Linked DNA regions of Alligator mississippiensis. The protein of the gene in region 1 purifies or fractionates together with the protein of each later gene. This does not show direct contact. Links are inferred from orthologs where the notes say so. Each region holds a gene or a part of one and is shown in the gene's direction. Other genes may lie near its edges.

What was found.
Region 2: the proteins of PDHA1 (region 1) and RAB7A fractionate together in Homo sapiens (co-fractionation; 3 studies listed by BioGRID, with this or other methods). This does not show direct contact. The link is inferred for Alligator mississippiensis from reciprocal best matches to the Homo sapiens genes PDHA1 and RAB7A.

What each region holds. Positions count from the first base shown.
Region 1 is NC_081824.1:319,709,561-319,720,405, reverse strand, and holds the start of PDHA1 (pyruvate dehydrogenase E1 component subunit alpha, somatic form, mitochondrial), read left to right. Parts: upstream 1-5,868; 5' UTR 5,869-6,007; coding exon 6,008-6,070; intron 6,071-6,133; exon of another isoform or gene 6,134-6,148; coding exon of another isoform or gene 6,149-6,151; intron 6,152-10,845. UniProt on the Homo sapiens protein: The pyruvate dehydrogenase complex catalyzes the overall conversion of pyruvate to acetyl-CoA and CO(2), and thereby links the glycolytic pathway to the tricarboxylic cycle.
Region 2 is NC_081835.1:19,830,569-19,840,852, forward strand, and holds the start of RAB7A (ras-related protein Rab-7a), read left to right. Parts: upstream 1-6,246; 5' UTR 6,247-6,352; intron 6,353-10,284.

The sequences.
Region 1 (10,845 bases):
CAGGGCCAGCTGACTTGAAGGTATCCAGCTTCTCAAGATGTTCCTTCACAAAGTCAGCATCAATGGAGGGCAGGGGATCACCCTCACCCAAACTTCCCTGTCCCGTAGCGGGCATGGGCGTCCCATGGGACTGATGAAAGACCGACGCAAAGTACCTATTTAATAGGTTGGCTTTTTCCTGGGTCAGTTGTCAGTTGCCCCATCTGGTTCAGCAGGGGTCCAACGTTGCCCCTGCTTTTCCTCCGGCTCCCCACATATCTGAAAAAGGACTTTTTATTGTCCTTGATGCTCAAAGCTAGTTGGAGTTTAGTTGCAGCCTTGGCTTTCCTGGTCTGCTCCCTACAGGACCGGACCAGTGCAGAATAATCCTATATAGACCAGTGCAGAATAATCCTCCTTGGAGGCGACTCCCATCCTCCATCCTTTGTAGGCCTTTCTTTTTAGCCTCAGGAGGTCTGCTAGGTCCCTGGAGAGCCAGGGGGGGCTGCTGTGCCCTCTTGCTGCCTTTCCTCCGAGATGGAATAGACTTAGTTTGTGCATTGAGGATTGCTCCCTTGAGGAGCAACCACCACTCACACTAATAAAGTGAATCTGAAAAAGCTTATAAATGCTTTGGGAAAGAGATCTCTTATTTGTATTTGACTGAAAGTCAGGCTCAGTGACAGAATTGTCAATAAAACATAAAATAGGTTAAAAATAATATTTAAAGCAAAAGAAACCCTTATTCTTTTCTACTGACTCCTAATTCCTACCAGGATTGTTATGTTAAGTTTCATGCCTCTTTGGGCTTCTATTCAGAAGAATATAGGTTTTGTATAGTATGAGGGATGTCATTAATAAAGCACAGAAAGGGGAGGGGGGAAGTAGTATTCTAGAGCAAGGATTCTAAAAGTGAAACATCTTCCCAATGATAATGTCAGCATCTGGTGAGTTCAAGGGTTTCCCAAATTCCAGTGGAGAAGCAGTGGTCATTTTAAAAATTTAAAAACCACCACTCATGATGACAGCTCTGTGGGCCGCATCTGGCACATGGGGCATAGGTTGAGCACCACTGACCATAAGAACTTCCTCTTTCCTCCTACAATGGCCTGCCTCATTTACTACATCCCACTTCTGCAACAAACAAGACAAACAAGGTATTTGTTTTACAAATAACAGCATTATAACCTACAGACCTGAATGTTCTCTGAACTCTGTTCATCCAGTGTACTGAATCAAGTAGGGATCCTGTAGGGGAAAAAAACCCCAATAATATATGACCATTTACCAGTTTTTCCCCTTGGTGTTCAATGTGTAAGCCTGCTCAGTGTGTGCTCCAAATGGCAAAAGGAAATCACTGAATGGAGGTTGGTCTAGCAGTTTGGGATTTCATATCTAAAAAAGGATTTTGAAAAAATGTGTGCATGTGCATGTGGGTGTGTATGTGTGTAGGAAGAACAATAAAATGTTCTTGAGCTCTAGAAAATGCCTTATAGTGAGAGATTTAAAGAATTCAATCTGCTTAGCTTCTCAAAAAGGAGAGAGGTGACTTGATAACAATGAGTGCCTTCACGAGGAGAAAATACTGGGCACTAAGGAACTCTTTAATACTGCAGAAGAAGGAACAACAAGAACAAATAGCTGGCAGCTGAGCCAGGCAAATTCAAATGAGACATGAGTCATGTTTCTAACACTGAATGTGATTACTGGAACAGACTCCTGAAGGAAGTGGTAAATTCCATGTGGCTCTTCTGCAGGGATGGAACAGGAACATCTGCCCCTTGAGCCAGAGACTGTTGTCCTCTGTTTGTGCCTGCCAGCCACTAGAGGGAGATGAGGCACAAATTTTGCATATGGATGTTCTAGATTTTGGCTGACAACAGAAGCATTTACAGAACCATCTGGTTCTAAGAGGAATATACTTGAATGGTAACAGAAGCTACAGCCCCCTTTACATTTGACCTATATTTCTCTGTCTCCTCCAGCCCACCTTCATCCCATCTGTTCTCATCCCAGTTCATCTCCTCTACACTCATTCCACATCCCAGACTCACTCCCTATTGACAGCCCAGCAAGAACAGTTTGTCCACTGTCAGTCACTGTAACCACAGTAGCCACTCAGCACCAATGCGGTCCATAGCTGGTGTGAGAAGCAATAGCATGAACATGTTTTTGCTGAGCATGTGACCTGTGGGGTTTTTTCAGAAACTCATAACTTGGTAAGTCTTTGGAGGCACAGGAACTTGTTAACTTCAATAGGACTTCACACATACTGGAATAAATGCAATATGTATCATCTCTCGGTATTTAATTTACAAGTAATTATATGCTGGATATTTTTTTCCTAACTTGATATTTAGCCTCATCCTTGGCTAAGAGAAAATAAATATAAAGTCTAATTACTGTAACATTGAATAGATATTGAAGTTACTGGGGGTTGAATCTACTCAGCACTGTTCTGCCGCCATGCAGCATTTCAGAGAAGCATATCCTTAGATAGACATCACTTTCAGTGTTTTTAAAACTCTCTCCTTTCTCAAACAACAAAAAAAGAGTCTCAGCACCTGACCATATCTAAGTCAGGGTTCCGAAAAGTACGGCCACATTCGAGCCACAGCTTTTTGGAGATACAGTGTCAGCTTTTATCAGCAAAGCTTTTATCAAGTTTTCTTTCATAACACATCAATCTGAAACTTGAGTTCTACAATATCTTAAAAAGAAAGAAACAGAAGAGATCTTTGAAATACTGAAAGTATTCTTCTTTGAAGTCTTCCTATTACTTGGATGAAGCAGGGGCCTTTTCCTCTTGATGGAGCATAGGTGATTACACACCAATATGGTTTTCTCTGATGTGGGAAAAAAAAGAATATCTAAAGTGAGGATCCTTGAATGAAGAGCATACAATGATGAAAGGTTTCAAATACATCTTTTGCACACAGACATACTATAAAGTGTGTGTGTAAAGCATCTCCCTGGATTTTTCAAAAATTGGTTAGAAAATAAAAGGATTTGAGGTAAGACTCTCTCTTCTTCCTTCTCTGCCTTTTTTCACTAAGATCAAGTCTTTACTATGTAAGCATTGCACATTTAGCTCCCGTATTCCCCATCTCAACCCATCACTGAGCTAAGCAGGCTACATCCTTACTATGTAACTTAGTTGTGTCCTTCCCCAACCCAGCCTATAACATGTAGTCACCCTTGTCTGAGCCTCTATATTTCCTTCTACTCCTTCAACTGGGTAACTTCTTTTTAGCATTCACTAATAAAGTAAATCTGAAAAAGCTTATAAATGCTTGTGAAATTTCATAGCACAGGCAATAGACTGAATAGAAGCCCAGAGGCATGAAACTTGACACTTAATAACAATCCTGGTAGGAATTAGGAGTCAGTAGAAAAGAATAAGGTTTTCTTTTGCTTTAAATATTATTTTTAAACTATTTTATGTTTTATTGATAATTCTGTCACTGAGCCTGACTTTCAGTCAAATAAAAATAAGAGATCTCTTTCCCAAAGCATCTACAATATAAGTTAATACAGCATGTTCTGTATCAACACGTTGTTGAGATTCCCAGTATTTCTTAATAATTTCTCATATTTTGAGCTCCTTGGAGTTATCTGTGTATGTGTGGTTATCTTTATGTGTTTTGTATAGTGTGAGGGATGTCATTAATAAAGCACAGAAAGGGGAGGGGGGAAGTGGTATTCTAGAGCAAGGATTCTAAAAGTGAAACATCTTCCCGATTATAATGTCAGCATCTGGTGAGTTCAAGGGTTTCCCAAATTCCAGTGGAGAAGCAGTGGTCATTTTAAAAATTGTGTGGTTTTCTAATTTACAGTTTTGCTACAAGCAAAACACCTGGGAGATTCTAAAAAAGCACTCTCCTTGTTTTATGATTCTAGAAAAGGGCTCCCGTAGCATCCCCCACTGTGACTCCTTAATGTCACAACCCAAAGTTGTGGTTTTTGTTTGTGTGTGCTTCAGCACCGCTAAATTATTGTTCCCGCCTAAATTGTAGCTTTCTTTGCATGGTGGAGTTCTCTGCTGCTGGAGAGAACTCCGGTGCAACGGGGGATTTCCCGCCGTTTTGCAGCTTCTTTGCATGGTGCATTTCTTTTGCATACTAGTGATGCACGTTGCAAAGGAGTTCCCGCCATTTGCATTTCGATTCGCGCCACATTATTGGCCGATTCTAAATGTAGGCACACGTGGCGGCTAGCTATTGGCTTGCTAGCCGTACAAAAGGCTTGAGTGGTTTCCGCCCAAGTTGGAGGACTCCACGAACACCAGGAGGAGGAGACTTCACACTGTGTGAAGATCTCTAAGCGCTGCGGATCCTTACGGACCCAACGCTTTTCTCAAGCAGGCAATAGAGGCTTAACGATCGAACCCACGGAGCTTTAACTACTCCGGAGGGGAAACAAAAGAACAAATCGCCTCTAGCCTCTCCCCATCGCCGATCGCAATCCAAGACATATCCCTTTCCTGTAAACCCAATTTTCGAACCCACGGAGCCTAAACAACTCACCTGTAACTGCTACTTCTCCATAAGCCACAGTTGCTTGTGTGGCAGCTAGCTTGCAAAGCTAATGCTTTTTTATGAGTTTGTCAAATATATCTGTATAAGTCTCTGTATATGCTACTGGTATGCATGCCTACATACTACCAGCATCATAGTTTGGAGGGCTGGCTTGTCCAAAACGATCAGTTAGGAGTTGGAAAATGGCAACAGCACCTTGAAGAGTCAAAGTCTGGCCTGGCAAAAAAAAAATCATGGGATGTCTAATGTCCAACCCCATCTTCCACTTCCAATCCCACTGCATGCTATACACTTTGAATGAACTTCCCTCTCCCCACATGTGACAGTGATGTTGGTTTAGACATGACTACTTCATACCAGCGAAAGCAAAAGTAGTTATACGAAAGCAGTGACGTGTCAGCATAAATCCCCTTGTCTAGACAGGCTGCAAATGATTAAAACTTAATATACAACTCTGACTGAGTAGGGAACATATCGACAGTCAGCTTCATGACCGTATTGTAACCAACAATTCGCTTTGAGCTTGGCGTCTTGGCCACATGTATAATTAGCTCCAGCCCAGGTAATTACATGCCAACTACCTAACTTTTTTGCAATTGCGATTCCAGGCAGCAGTTAGATACAACACAGCTAAGGCCAAGCCTTCAAAAATTAGGCATCGGCCTCTCTCACCACCTGACATCAGGAAATCGGTCCAAAAATAATCAGATTTTTTAAAGAGATGACAAATATGATTTTTTCTTTTTTTTTTGGCTCTTTTGATGGTTGGGTGGCCCTAGCTCTGTGTATTCCCCTGGCTCTCTACAACATGGAGAGCTATGCGTCCACATGAAAATAAAATCAAGGAAGGAAAGCTCAGATTCTCACAAGGTTGCACTGCACCACGACTTGAGGCAAATGCCAAATAATGCAAGGCTCAGGCCAGGCATGCCCCAGCCATGGATACTTTACACTTGGCCCTGGGGGCTGCAGCCACCTAGGCAGGCACTTTCAACAGGTCTACATTTTTTTTTTAAATAATAATAATTTATTAACAAAAAATCCACAACTAATGTATTAACTGACAACTCATAATAATTATTGTAATAACTGAACATTAATGTTTATCCATGACATGACTTTGGGAATTGCAAAGGGGGGGGGGGGAGGAGCTCCCCTGGGATCCTCCACTCCCATCACTGCCTTGCTAGGGCCCCTGGGCTGTCAGCCCTGGAGTCCCAGTGCGCATGCGCAACCAGGAGCCGAGCGCTCGGGCAGATTCGTTCAAATTCCTTTAGGAACGTGGAACTCGGGGAGCGTTGCTGGTCGGCCACAACTCTATAGCGAATCTCCCTTTTGTCAGCCGCGGAGCTGTCACTCCGGGCTAGATTCCGGTCGGCCCAACGAGAGGACGTGGTGCGGCGGAGGTAGTGGCCGCGGGGCCTGGCCGGCGCTGAAGGAGACTCGAGGACACGGGCGGGCGTTGGGCGTTGCGGCCTCTTCCCCGCTCCATGCGCAAGATGCTGCTGGCCGCGCTCTCCCGCGTGCTGCAGGGCCCGGCCGCCGCCCGGACGGTGAGCGAGGGGGGACACACTCGGCCTGTTGCAGAGCCCGGCAGCCCGGACTGATCTATCCCCCTGCCCCCGGTCCGAATGGTACTGCTGGGGGGGGGCCGCGAGACCCCCCCGCCATACGGAACCCACCGAGGGGGGGAGGGGACGTTGGGGGGGCGTAGCGGGAGTGACATGGAGGGGGCGGGGCCTGGCTTCGTTGCCAGTGGGGGTCTACGCGGGGGAGCGGGTGTCCAAAGGGGTCCTTGCGGGGGAGCGTTGGGCTGCCCATGGAGCGCCTGTGCCTGAGGGAATGGGGGCATTTCTAGCAGGATGAAAGTATTTTGAAAAAGATAATATTAGGGGGAAAAGCCTGCGTAGAGGTAGGGCAGTGGGGCTAAGCCAGGAGGCCGCATCCTCAGGAGCCTCGAGGTCATCTCCAGGGGGCCTCGAGGTTCCACGCTGGGTTGGCGCCGCGTCGGCGGGCGCTGTCCTTTCTGCTTTGCTTGGTGTCCCCTCTTGGCACTTGTGTTTCTAGCCTTTGACCTCTGCTCCCATCCCTGTTTTTATTATTATTTGTCCCAAGCATTCAGTAACACATCTCTAGTGGACCCCTGTGTTAGAGGGGGTTATAGTTTCTTTGGCGGGCCTGGCCCAGGAAATCCGGTGAGGTGTTAAAAGGCCATTCATCGTACGACCGCCATGTGCCACCTCTACCCACTGACATCATGTGGGAATGTGCTCTGCACATGCCCCCCTGCCTTGCCGTGCCCTGTGCGCAGTGTTGTTGGTGGAAGAGTGCCTCTGGTATTTTTCCAGTCACAGCCCCTAGTGCAGATTGGCACGTGGGCAGCGGCTGCCTCAGGTCCAAGGGGGCGCCATGAGTCCAGCCAGGTTGAGAGCTCTTGGTGGAGATACCACAGGCTTTTGTAAGCTGCTTCCCCTGGCGACAGACGCCGTAGCTGATGGACACTTAGAGCTTTGCAAGTGCTGCTCAGACGGACAGCGAGCAAGGCCGACATCACTGGCCCAGGCTGAAAGGTTGTGCAGAGTCGTGGCGCTTCTTTCTAGCCAGTGAAAATGAGAATTGTAAGAAGGCACTGCTCAAAATCGACCTGCCGCACAGGCAGGCGATGCGAAAAGATCCCTGTTTCAAAAAGGTGCAGTGCTCTGCTGTGCTTCTTACATTGAAGTTGTTGTGGGCTGGTTGTTCTCTCTGGGGACTCTTCCAGGCTCTTGTGGGGTTATTTAAAAAAACAAAAAAGAAAGAAAGAAAGAAAACATCATCTCGGATCTCTCCTCTTTCCTCCCCACCTGTTCTCCTGTATCATCCCACACTCCTAATGTTGTCACTTCCTTTGTTGTCTCTTTTCTGTATTCCCAATCACTTGGCTTTGATGCTTCCTTCATTTTTCTCATGCCCTCACCTTCATGCCATCTTGTTATGCTATCCATGCTTGTGGGATAGTTTCTTCTTTCTGCCATGTCTTCTCCAGATTTTTGCTCTTCGTTCTGCCTTTTCATGCTGTATTTTTCCCTTCTGTCAGCTTGTGTTTGGATTGTTCAACACAACAGGTAATTAGCATATTCTGTCTGCTGAACCTGGTTTGTAAAATGAGATATAGATTTGCAGTGGTGTGTTATATGCGCTACTCTTGCAAGTGGCTAATAGGAGCAGTAGTGTCCTCCACTGTAGTGACAGAACTAGTGTGCCACGTGGCTACTAGTTTGATGGTTTGGTTCATTTGGAACTAGGTGAGCATTTGTCTTTGGCTACTTCCTACAGTTGTTGCAAAAACTTTTTTGAAAGGCTTTACAGAGTGTGTATCCCAGCCAACCGTTCCTTCACCCCACTTGAGAGTGGTAAAGGGAAGTAAGGGCCAAAAGTGGGGGTCAACTTGGGGCACTTAGAACATTGTTGTAAACGGCAGGAAAGTGTTTGAGCTCCTTGTGTTTGGCTACTCAGTCTGGCTGAAAGCCGTATTCAATACATAGGGAGGTTCTGCTAGTTTAAACAGAATGTCAGCGCAGAACAATATGCAGCAAGGTTCAAATACTGAACTTGTTAATGAAAAGTAAATTATAAAGGCTGGAAAAGGAGGTTCAGTCTTTCCTGAGTGCTAACATCAGTAGTTCAGGAAGTCCATGCTGATCTTTTAGTTTAAAAGTCCCTCTTCAATCCTAGCAATTGTTAGTACAGGCAGTCCTTGGACTTACCACAATTGGTTTCTGGAAACCGGGTCTTAAGTTGAAATGTTGTAACTTGGAACCAATTTTCTCATAAGAAACAATGTTATAAATGGGGGATTGGTTCCTGAACCAAGGCCTGATACCCTATGTTCACCAAAAATACCCCAGAATTTTGTACTCGATCAATTATAGATGAGTGACATAGTTACATTAATGTATTTATATTGTAAATAGCAATCATATTGATTTGGAAGGACTTCTTTGAGGTGACTGCTGGACTTTTTGAAGGGCTCTTGGTTGGACTTTTTGAAGGGTTCTTGGCTGGAGTCTTCTCAGGAGTCTTGGCTGCAGGTTTTTCTGGAGTCTTGTCTGCTTTCTTAAAGAAAGTGTCCAAGGAAGTTTGGACAGATGTTCTCCAGGGAGATGAGTGATGCAGCGAACTTGTTCACTGGTGTGGTATCACATCAGATCAAGCGTTGTAAAGTCGAAACTGACGTTAGAAAGTTGAAACAGGGTGTCAGTTTATAAATGTTGCAACATTTCGAGTTGCAACATTTTGCACTTACAAGTCAAGGACTGCCTGTAATGAAAAGAAAGGAATTGGAGGACTAAGGTGACAGATGTTTTGGCAGGAGAGTCTAAAGTGCTAACAAAAAGGGTAAATTTAAAAACATTGGTTACTAAAAAAAATTCAGATAAGTGTGATGTTTACCTTATTTTCTTGCAGATTATTGCTCTATCTCTAAAATCGAAAGAGATGAGGGAATAACCTTCTCTGTTTTTCCAGCTTGTTTATACATCTTAAAATAATGTTATGCACAGAAAATATCACCATTTCCTATATCTAGTCATTCCCCTTTATTTTTTTTGTGGGTGTATAAATTTTAAAATAATATTGCTATTGGGGAGATTCAGTATTTATAAATGATTTCTTTTTCTTGGTGGTGTCTTTGTGAAACTTGATTTTGGGCTTCCCCTCCGTCACTGTATTAGGAGATTTTTGTGTCTGCAAAAGAATATATTCAGCCTCCTTGTGTCCATCTAAGGTTTTTGAACACTGAGTTAGAAAATTCCCATGCTGCCATATTATGCTGCCTTCACAACCTGTTCTGCGCTGACTCTGCACCCTTCTTCCCCAGTTTACGTAGCCAGGGCCTTAGAGAAACTACTTTTATGGATCACTCGTTGCAGGGCAAGAATCTAGTGGACAAATGATATCAGAGGAGACATGATGATAACATGTCTGACTTTCATCTCTTCCATCGGTTTTATATCCCTCTGACTCCAACAACAGTAACTTTTGACATATATTAGAATTGGGCCTGTTGGGTAGAGAGCATGCTTGAGTCTGGATAGGGTCTCTGATAGATAGGAGAACTTTAACAAGAACAAGGTTTTAGCTGGTTAAAAATTGAAGGTGGCAGAAGTAATAATACCTAGCTCTAATATAACATTTGCACAATGTATTTCAAAATGCTTTTCAGAAGAGTTAAATATAATTACAGAAAACCTAAATCCCAAGGTGAAGTGATTTGCTGAAGGTCATTAAATAATTACTGTGATGGATAGGTAAGGTATGGAGGGAAATCACAGTAGAGAAATGGGCTGTAACTAAAAATGGGTCATGTTCAAGGGCTGGGAAAAGTAAAATGTAGGTAAATGAGATGGAGGGAATGTCCTAGCGTGTCCTTCTCCTGCCTTCTGTGCAGCACACCCATTTGCCCATATGTCATCCGGCTTCCTAGCTCATTTTAGCAGGTATGCATCTTATGACTTGGTAAATTACTGGATAGCACTGAATATATTTTTGGACATACTATGAAAAAGGAAATCCAGTGTTTCTGGATCAGGTTTCTGCTCCTACTTATTTGCTTTGCAGGACCAATGAAATTCCTGTCTGCTGTTCAGATTTGCTCACCTGATTCACTGGTCATAAACTTCCAAGATTATGGAATGAGAACATGAGTAGGAGCAGAGAATTATCTTTTAGGTGTCTGCCTTTTCTTCTTTACCCTATGGCTGTTTCTGTTGCAACTCCACTTGTGGCTTTTTTCCTGTCTTCTCCTGTGTTGTGTATATATACCAGATTCCTTATGTTCACAGTGCTAGCAGCAAAGTTAAGATATATTTAAATTCAGGACAATGAAATAGTTTAGATTTTGGATTTCTAGTTAATGCCCATTTGAGAGCTTGGGATAATATGGATGACAAAGTTGGTTTGCTTACGTTCTATCAGTTCTGGAGTGCAGAAAGTGCAAGTAGCAAACAGCCCTTTCTTGCAAACAGAAGAGGAAAAAGTAGCTTTACGAATTACATTATAAAAACATTTGTGAAACTTTCCAAACTTTGAATTAATTAAAACAGGATAGAAAACAGGCTTTTAATTTTCTTTATGGGTGAGATTCTATACTGCTTTTGTCAGTTAGCAATACAGCTGTCAGTTTTGTGAAGGTCAGAAACACCTTTTAATTAAGAATTGTGACTTTAACTAAATACACTTTCGGTTATTTAACATAAGCTATCACCAAAGGTACAATATTTAAACATTTATTACTTTGTTTTCACAATGATTAATCTTTAGCAAAGGCAATGAACATATGGGCTCTTAT
Region 2 (10,284 bases), on another chromosome or scaffold:
CACCAGTGGAAATGTACAGATGGTCACTAGAATGGAAACACTGGTGTAGACCACTTATGCGACAAGCAAGGACTGAGCATTACGGTGTTAAAGAGTGCCTATACATGAGCAGTTAGGCTGCTCCAACACACTGTAATTACAGCACATCGGAGCAGGCTTGATTAATCAAGTCAGCTAGAGCGTGGTAATTACTGCGCTCCAGCAGACTCCAGCATCTTGTGTATCAGTGTCCCCATGCTTAAAAAGCAGTGGGGGCACTTTTACTAAATCTCATCGAATGAGCTTTAGTTCAAACGCTCCCACTGCCATTTTTAAGTGCAGGGATGGTGATACACGAGATGCCTTGGGTGCTTTAATTAGAGCAGCTCTTGGAGCTGCCGCCCCCGCCCCCCCCAGGTTCCGGAACACATGTATAAACATCCGAAGAGACCAGTGCTAAAGAGACGGCAGTAGCAGCACCATTAGTGGAAATTCACAGACAAAGGTTAAAAAAATGGAAGATTTTAAAGAAAAATACCAATGAATGCACAGGGACAATTAGACCAAGTGAATCACAGGATGACAAAGGAGGTATAAGGAGAAAACTGGATAGATCTACAAAAGCAAGGGAGCCTGTGATCACAGCTTGTTGGTTCCTCTTTTTATTTTAGTGAGTTAATATTTTAATGGTGTTTTGAGGAAGTCAGTGCAGACCGTAGAGGTGGTAGAGATATGCACTGGAAAGCTAGTCAAGAGAAGTGAGACTTTAGTAAGGATTTGAAGAAGGAGGGCTGGTTTCTACAGAGAAAAAAATAAATGTACTTGCAGCTGGTGCTGCAACCCACACATCTTCCTTTCTTCACAGTAGGTTAGGGCAAATTACAAGGAAGGTTCTCAAGGAGATAGACAAGGATCTGAAGGAACCACTGTTACCTAAAAGGGGATGGCTCAATAGCCTCTGAAAATAATCAGAATAAACCCTATCTATAAAATGTGTGGTCTATGTCCAGGCATGGACTAACTGTAGGCCAACATCTTAGTACACCCCTGGACTTTGAACATTCAGACTGCATTACAGAACTAGGTCTCAACAGTGCTCCTATTGAACTCTGTAGGAAGTTGCAATGGATTTCAAGGATGCAAAATCAGGCTGTTAAACCAGATTCCCACTTTATGACCAAAAAAATAACTATGGAGAGCCTTTCAGCTGTAGCTTCAGGCTGTCTTAACATTGTCTGTTAACATGTTTATATGAACATAGGTTGTAAAATTAATACCTTATACAAATAAAACAAAAGCCAACAATTGGGTGACACTTGTAAAAGGAACAAGAAAGTTTTTAAAATTGCATTATAAAAACAGACACCTTTAAGACTTCTTGAATTTTGCAGCCAGTAGCATTGCCTAAAGGTTCAGCCCCACAAACTGGGGCTGGTGATACTATCAGGATAGGTTTATTATTAGAAATACTACATTTGGGTTAGATTAGACCAGCCTCTCTGCCAGTTCTTCCATGAAACGTTTCCATGTGTTTCCTGTTTACTTTGTTTGTATTGTCTAGTGTAGAGCTGGATTAAACTAACATTTTTGAGTCCCATACTCCTGTGTCAGCTGGCTAAACTGCTGTTTCCCCTATGATTCCATATTACGGATAATAAAAAAGTGACACTTTGTCACTTCAACCACACAGGAACTGCTCCAACAACCTTACTGATACTGTTGATCTGTTCTTCATTTGTTCTATTTCTTCCTTTCCCACATTTTTAGTTCCACTTTCCCATCTTCTGCTTCCCCATGCCTTTCTGTCAGCTACCTTGCAGAAGTTTGCTGCACATGGGGGCATGTGTCCCAAGGTGTGAGAAACAGTTGTGCTGTAAGGCAACTGGAGGTTTAAAGGAAATCAATGGAAGGAGGTGTTCTAAGTGCTCCAAAGTGTCCCAAGTATTTAGCTTGGTAGACAGGTTAGCTAATGGAGACTGTTCGTCACAGAGAACAAGACGATGGTGGAGCAGATTTTTACTTCCTGATTTGCAGGAATTCATATAAGAAAATGTCTTGATGTCTTACGTCAGACAACCCAAAAAAGGACTACTTCAGGCTACCCAGCAAAAGGACCTGAATCTATTACCATGTATGAATGTCTGTCATAGGCAGGCCACCAATTCCTACACCATTACAACTGCAAAGAGTTGAGATACAGTTTCAAAAAGATCCAATATTCAAGGTTTGATTTGTTTTTAATTCTCAAGGAACTGGACAGGAAACACTGACTTCCTTCCAGGCTATGAAAAGAGTTTGTGCTGGCCAATCTCTTCCTAAGGGTTTCTGATGAACTGAGCTTTTGTTTTAGCAGAGCCTTATTTGTATTTTGGTTGATTTTGGTGTCTGTCGTTAGGATCCAAACAAAATTATCAGGATGCCTTGATCCATTCCTCCATCTGTCTTCATAACATCTTTCCTCTTTAACTTCTGTGTCTTTGAATTTAACTGCAACGTACACAACCAGTTGTGGTGCTTATATATGGCAAACGTCCTGTTCACTTCAATGGGAGCTGGATTGGAGCCCATTCATCTGATGAAAGGCAGCATTCCCTACAAGGATTAGCAAGCCACCATAAGAACATTTTTGCATGGCACAGCTGTCAGTTATGCAGAAAGAGAAACAAAGCAACATCCAAGCCTTGTGCTAGGTTTTTTTCTAACCACCATGTAATAAAAATATCCCACTGAAAATAAACAAGTGGCATTGTTGCCAGAATCACTGTACACCACAAGAGAAGGCAGGATTTTCCATTATGTACCATGCAGGAAAAAATAAAAAGAAACCTTTAGCAAAGTGGGCAGAGGAGCCCAACAGCTGTCCGGTCAGCGCTGGCTGAAAAGAGATTCATGGCAGTTGTCACTTGACTTCTGTCCCAGGGCAGACGAGCAGTTTAGGATCTCAGGCCTGAATAACCCAAAACAGGTCTTCCTCTGGGATTATGCTAAATAGCCTGGCACTGTGTTTGCAGTTCATCCAACATGTTACAGCCTTTTCTCAGGGGAATACACCAATAGAGCAACTGCTATAGTCACTCCACGCCTGAAACCCATGGCAAAATAGGCTCCATGGGGTGGATTTTGGTAGCACCATGTCTAGAGATATGGTTCTCCTTTGTGATTTCTGTCCTAGACCTTTTCACTAAGTCTTTATTCTTCTGTTCAATAGTCCATTACCCTAATTACCACCCTGTCCTTCCCGTTTAATGATCTCAGTGTGCTTAGTAACCATTAATAAACATCAGAACCCTATTGCAAGCAGGGTCATATCACGAGCAGCATCCTACAGATGGGGAGGCTGAGGCATAGAATAGGTAAATGGCTTATTCGGTGTCATGTAAGTCAGGGATATAACCTCTCTTGACTTTGAATCCTCTGCTCTAAGTGTCCCATTCAGTACCTCATGCAGGCGATATTAAATCTCTCATTGATTGCAATGATATTGTACCAGGTCTGAAGACCTGACTCTCACATAAGCCATTTTCATTTGGTTCCCTTTGCAGCAATACAGCCAAGATGCAGTGGATTCTGTGATGGATATTTTTTTTGACAGGGTTGCAAATCCCAACAGATTATAACGATGATAATAGTTTATTTGTAACATAATACTGCACTGCTCTTCTATCAGCAGGTCTCAATAGGTAGAGAAAAACCAGTGTCTTGATTCCTAAGTTTATTCTTTTATTCTTAATCATAAGCTTTTTCACCTCTTGCAGATACAAGAATTCAAGTCTGAATTAAAAATAATATATAGGGTTTTACTTTTTCACCATGCCTCTAAAGAACTTTGCTAAAATTATCTTTTACTTAATTTGCCTGGGTCCTTTTAGTTTTTCCTTTCCCTGATCCACAGGTTAGCTAACTGATCATGTGATTAAGATAAATACTATAACATATGAAAGTACACGCTGAATAATGCAATGAGTCTTCTACCAGTATGCATGGCAGGATATACAGGACAGTTACTGTTTCTTACACATATGGGTGTCAGTGAGCTTACACAATCCCATTGCAGCTCTTCTGCTTGTTCTTATATTAATCATTGCTTAACAAGTGCACCTAGACACGTTTTGCAGCTCACCATTTTTAATTTATAAGCAAATCTTTTACGTAACAAACTCTCTTGTTACCAGACTGCTATGCTCAATGTAGCACTTACAAACCAGCCTTGTAGAATAAAAATTAGTTCAGCTTTGAATCAATCTTTGTTTATTGATTGTTATGCTAGAAGACTGGCAAGAAATTGTGTTTATTTCTGTTTCTTTCCTTAGAAATCTCAAGAATGGCAAATTGTTGGTCTATGATTGGGGTACCTGGGTGCTAGGAAAATATAAATCAAATATAAAATAGCGATGGGTCACTGATTTTTTTACAAGCTATGTAGAATAGTAGCATTAGTAGTCAAGTAGTAGGTACCGTTTTAATTTCTTCCCAAATAAATCTTTAACATTTATATAATCATTGGTTTATCAAATAGCTTAATGGCTAGTCCAGAGAAAAGGCCTCTTCACTAAGGCCCAACCCTTATCCTGCAACCACTTATGCACATACTGAACTTCAAATATAAGAAATCCCACTGATTTGGGAATGCTAAAGTTTAAAATTGAGCACGTATTTGCAGGATCCAACCGTATACGTATAAGCCTTTATAACTGAGGAGGGTCCAGACGTTATGAGAAGCAAGTGAATCAACACTGACATTTTACAGCTATCTTGTCCTAGAAGTTCTGTTCAAGGATTTATCCTAATTCAGTGGTGATCCGCCTTTTTCCCTAGTGGGCCAGATGAGCAGTGCCTGGTCTGTCCACGGGTTGGATCTGGCTGGTGGTCACAATCCAACGCCCAGGGCAAGTACAGCCGTGGCTGCATGGAGAGGGAAAGCGGGGTGGTGGGGACAGCCCAGCCTGGCCCTGATCCAGCCGTGCAGGGGAAGGGAGCGTGTCCCAGCCCTGATCTGGCTGTGTTGTGTGATGGGCTGGGGGGGTCAGAGAATTTGGCAGCAGGGACCATATTAATGGCCACTGCTCCCCTGCTGCCAAATTTCTCAACCAGTTGGGAGCTCCACATTTGGCCCACATTTTACCCCCTGCTCTAATTTGCTTGTGCATGTCTGAGGGAAGGAGGATTATAGACTAAAGCATGAGATTTAAGGGGGGGACTGCACGCCTGCAGAGGTGCGTAGAGTCACAAGGGTTTTTAGGAAGGTTGCCAACTCTGAATCTATTCCAGGTTACCAAAATGCCAGCACACAATTCAAATGTGCCACATGCTTGTGTGTACCAGTCACACGTTACGGCGCTTAGACTTTACATCAGGAAGGCAAAAGCACGTTGCTGTTATGCTTTAAAAACTCACCGGACTACCGTATAAATCAAATTCAACATTTGATATTTCTTTTAATGAATGCCCTATCGTTTATCCCTCCGGTGCCCCTCAGCAGTCTCCTGGAGATTTACGTCTAAACCCTGGAGACTCCTGGACGGTGGCGACCCTGCTTTTTAGCAGCCAGGGTCCCTCGCAGAAGAGGCCGTGGAGCTGAGCAGCAGCAAAACCCGATACAGGGGCAATTGGTCACAAAGCTCGGCTTGAGCAGAGAGGAAGCAGAGCAAGAAATAAAGCAAGCAGCAGATTATGACTGATTTCACTTAATGACATTAGGATGCACGCGGGGCCTCGCAGAGCGCCAGACGCGTGCTTTTCCCAGTCCTCCTGCCGCGGGATTTGTTCCTGTCCCTGCCGGTCACGCAGCCGGCGCGTCCAGGGGCCTGCGCCAGGGACACGAAGGGCTGTCCCCACCAGCAGGTGCGGCCAGGCTGACTGTCCTGGGACAAGGCCACTCGGGCGGGGTCCTGCTGCGGGACAACCCCCCTGCCCCTCTTGAAGTCCCTGTGAGGGATATCAATTAACACGTGGCCCCGGGGCCAGTCAGGGCTAAATGTGCGTGTGAACCATTGTCCCAGCCTGTCTGGACAAGCCTTCCCCGGTCCCAGCAGCCAGCTGCAGGCGGCCACGGGAGTTACAGTTTTAATCCGGATTACGAGCGTCAACACGGGCACAAACCTGCATTGCTACGATACCCCGTCCCGCCCCACGTGACACACAAACCCCACCCACCAGGCCCATGCTCGGGCCCAAGATGGCCGGCGGGGGGTCACGTGATGCGGTCCCGACGCGGCCTCTCCCTTGCGCGCTGACGTTACGCGTCGCCGGGCGGGTCCCGTGACCGGAAGCTGGGGAGGGGGAGGCGGAAGTGAAAGCGGAGCTGTCGGGGCCCATTAAAGCGGAGCGGAGCGCAGAGGCGGCCACACTCGCAGTGCCGCGGCCCGACCAGACGGTGAGTGTCGCTGTTCCCTCCCTCCGCTCCCGGGCCTCAGGGTGGCGGCGCCCCCGGGGGACCCCGGGCGGGGCGGTTTGGGGGGGTCTTTGTCTCCTCCCGCGGGGGCGGTGCGGCAGGACCCGCCCTCTCCCCCCGCGCACCCCCCCCGGGTTTGGTGGACGGTTGTTGCGCAAGGGGCAACTTAGGCCTGCACGGGGCCCGTGGCCGGGGGTGGTGCAGCCCCCTCTCTCCGCCCGTAGGGCGGGGGCGGGTCCCCCCGCGGCTTCTGCTCCGCCTCATCTAGCCTCGCCTGTGCTCCGGCCCCGTCCCAGCCCAGCTGGAGGAGCGGATATTGTGTGTCGGGGGGGGGGGGCGAGGTGCTGGGGCTGAACAGGCAAGGTGGGATTGTAGCAGTGCACGGGCAGCTCAGAGCGGTTGCTGGTGTCTGGTGGCCGGCACTGGCTGTTCTCGCTGGCAGCTGTGTGTGCCTGACAAGCTGTAACCCAGTGTTGTTGGACCCCTGCCTGGGGCAGAAGGGCCTCACCCCCCAGGCAGCCCTGCTGAAGAGTGTGCGTGCCACTGCTTGGCTCTGGCTTTCTGTGTTTAATATGACTGACTTGGAAATACTGGTTTCCTTGGCTGTCAGTTAGTGGTGTCAGCCAGTGCCCAGTCTGGCTTCTACAGAGCAAGTGTGGCTGCCCGTAGCGTTTGCTCAACTGCTCCTAGTTACAAATAGGTCTGGGGTAATGTCAGGGTGGTCAGCTGGATATTGCTATGTAATTGAAGCTGTTGTATGCCATACCCTCTTAGTCAGGAAGAAGCATGCTGTTTTTCCCTTGTGACTTCAGCAGCTGACCAAACACACATGACTTGCTATCCATGAACTAATAAGACTTTGTCAAGGTATGGTGAATTGAGTGAACAAGGAAAGTATCCTAGGTTGAATGTTGTTCTTCCTAAACGAACCAAGCGCCAGGCTGGAGATGAAATGGCAAACACTTCTCTTGTGGGTTCTCTCAACTGATAGCAATCACAGGCCTCTAGTCTAGAGAAGTGCAAGATACTGTTAAACTGCTGAAATAAGCAGAACTGCTGTGAAAGAACCACAAGTCCTGTTTTTTTTTCCAACAGCCACCCTTGAACAGATGGGAAGAGTAATGGTGAAGACTCTCAGGAGCTAAGAAGTTAAACTAAGGAACTGCAGGCTTTTTGTTGTTGTTAGTCTTCTTCCCCCCCCCCGCCCCCCATGCCCCCATTTAGATTAAGTGCTGTTGTCATGATACAACTTTTGTGTAGCTATAAAGTAGCTTGAGGCAGAACGCTGGGTTTTGTGAAGCCTGGCTTTCAAGGAATTTTCACAAGCAAGTGGCAACATTTTTTGAGAGGTCTGTGTGGTAGAGTACTGCAGATACCCGTGATGGCTCTGGTATCAATAGCAGTTTACCTGTAGTAGCTATCCCGTACATACTAACAGCCCAAATCCAAAATCGACTTTTTAGGTGGGTTTTTCAGTACAAGATGGCACTACATCTGGATAGTTGCTGGGGGCAGAGCTAGCTTTGGCCTGTGGTATAACATGGGCACTGTGTTGGCTCAAAAAAAAAAAGTTATCCTGTTTTAAGACAAACTGGCTGCTGTAGCTTGAGTCTTACTTGCTTTACTGCTATGAACAAATGTCCCAAAGACAAGTGTAGTTTTACTGTACTTTGAAATAGACTTTAATATAAGTTTTTTGCACTGCAAGGGCTGCACCTTTTTATGTGGGTAGGCTGTTTCCTGTCAGGACAAAGTTATGGACAAAGTTTGTATATGCCAGATTTCCTCATAGACAATCGGGTTATCTTTTTCCAGGAATGTAAGTTCCAAATGAACTTACATTGGATTTCTCTTCTCTGAATGTGTTTCATGTTTCTGTGAGCCAGCAATTTGCAGACTGACATGGGCAACCCTGACTGGATGGGTGCAGAAATACAGACCTAATGCATCCCAGCAGAGGTCTAGAATGCAAGTTAAAGGGATAATAGTGCAGGATGTTATGATGCAGTTAAGATGGAGGGAGCTGCTGGTCCTCTGGACAGGTGGAGTTGCATAATGGCTGGAGTTGAATTTTGATATCCACTAGTAAATTGTGAACTTAAACCAATGCAATTCTTGCATAGTTTGAGACTAGTGTGCCTCTTCAAATCAATGCAGTTTCTAGGAGGGAATTTGAAGTCTAGAAGAGTTGTTTTAATGCTAGTATATAGTATCTGCTTCGTAGCCTTGCAGTCTCTACTGTAGACTTTTTCTACCCAAGCTTGACTTGTAACTGTCACAAGGGTGTTTATTATTGGTAACAGAAGTTGAAGAAACTGTGACAAAGAGGATACTCTTAAGGCTGAGATTTGTAGCATAATGCCTCTTCTGTCCTTGTTTAAAAGTACTGTTTTGGTTTTTTGTTTTTTGGGGTTTTTTTGTTTGTTTTTTTTTTTATTGCCCAGCCTGAAATGGGTTAAGTTCAAATAGTGTGTTTGTCTAAGTTTCTGATGCTAGAACTTTTATTTGGGGGGGGGATGACAATGCATGAGATGGCTGAATTGGCCTGGCTGCCAGAATGCCCAAAGTAGTTGGGACTTGCTCACTAGTTTATGGAACAGCTTGGGTTAAAAGCAGTACTTCTGCCTTGTTAAACATGTTGGAAAAATTTGTGCTAACCTACCTATTCGAAGGCAAAGTCATAAGGATCCAAGTGCTTTATAGTGTTCACATGTTCAGGTCAAACATGTTCTAGTCAAGCATGACACTGGCTTTAGCAATTGCTGTCTAACAATTGCCTGTTAGTGTTGGATTCTTTTTCTAGCTGAGTCTCTCTATTTCTAAAACCTGCTTCTGTAATGACTTCTGATTATGTAAGACCTTGACGCGCCTCTCCTCTTTAAATTTGGTTGGTTCTGGGAATTGCAGGAAAGTATTTAACTGTGGCTGCGCATAGTTACGAGTGTCTTAGTTCTGCAGTTATCTGACTCTGTTAAGCTAGCCCCTACCTTGCCTAAGGATTCCTAAACATTAGACAAGGTCACTGACTGTTAGCAGTCTCCTTGAAATTACAGGCAGCTGGGTTATGTCTCCCTGTCACAAGGTGCATTTACTTTCTCAAGATTCCTGCTTCAAATGCTCTTGTTGATCTTTTGCACCAATCTTGGAGATGCAGCTCCTGGATTCAACTTGCTGCTGCATTTTCTTCTTGATGGGGATCTGCGTTGGTGATGTCATTGTTGCTGTTTGCTCTGTGTTCCTGTGAGACTGCTCCATCCTTTCTAGTGCCAAGAATGAGAAGTTCCATGCATGAGGCAAGCTGTTTCAACAGTACTGTTCATAAAGCACACCTTCAGTGACAATAAGGAAAGCTTTTTTGAGGATGATTAGAAACCTGTCGGTTTAAAGTTCATCTGAAATAGGGAATTCGCTCTCTCTCATCCAGCAATAAAGCTTCATGAACGTTGCTTCCCATTAGGTCATGTTCTGAAGCAAACTGCAAACCTGCAGTACAGGTTGCTGGTACAAGCCATTTGGGATACTACACAAGTAATTTTCTTGTCTATACATATTAAACAGGGCTATTTTGGTAATCTCTACCTAGAGTGACTAATGCATCATGCTTGTATGTAGCTCTGCTTGAACTCTTGAGGATCTAAGGTTGTCTGTCATAATATGAATTTGCCCCAAGCTTGTTTTGTCTTTGTTTTGTTTTTGTTTTTTGGGGGGGCGGGGGTTAAGCATACATAAACTCTGAGCACTGAGTGTCTAGAACTAGCCCATTCTTGATTGGGGATGAACCTGCATCAGAAGCAACATGCATGCTCATCTTGCATGACTGACCAGATGATGATGATGACCTTTTCCCAGGGAACATAATGTGAATGCTGTTTTAATTACTGAATATGGTGCCACTTTTTTAAGGGTGGTAGACT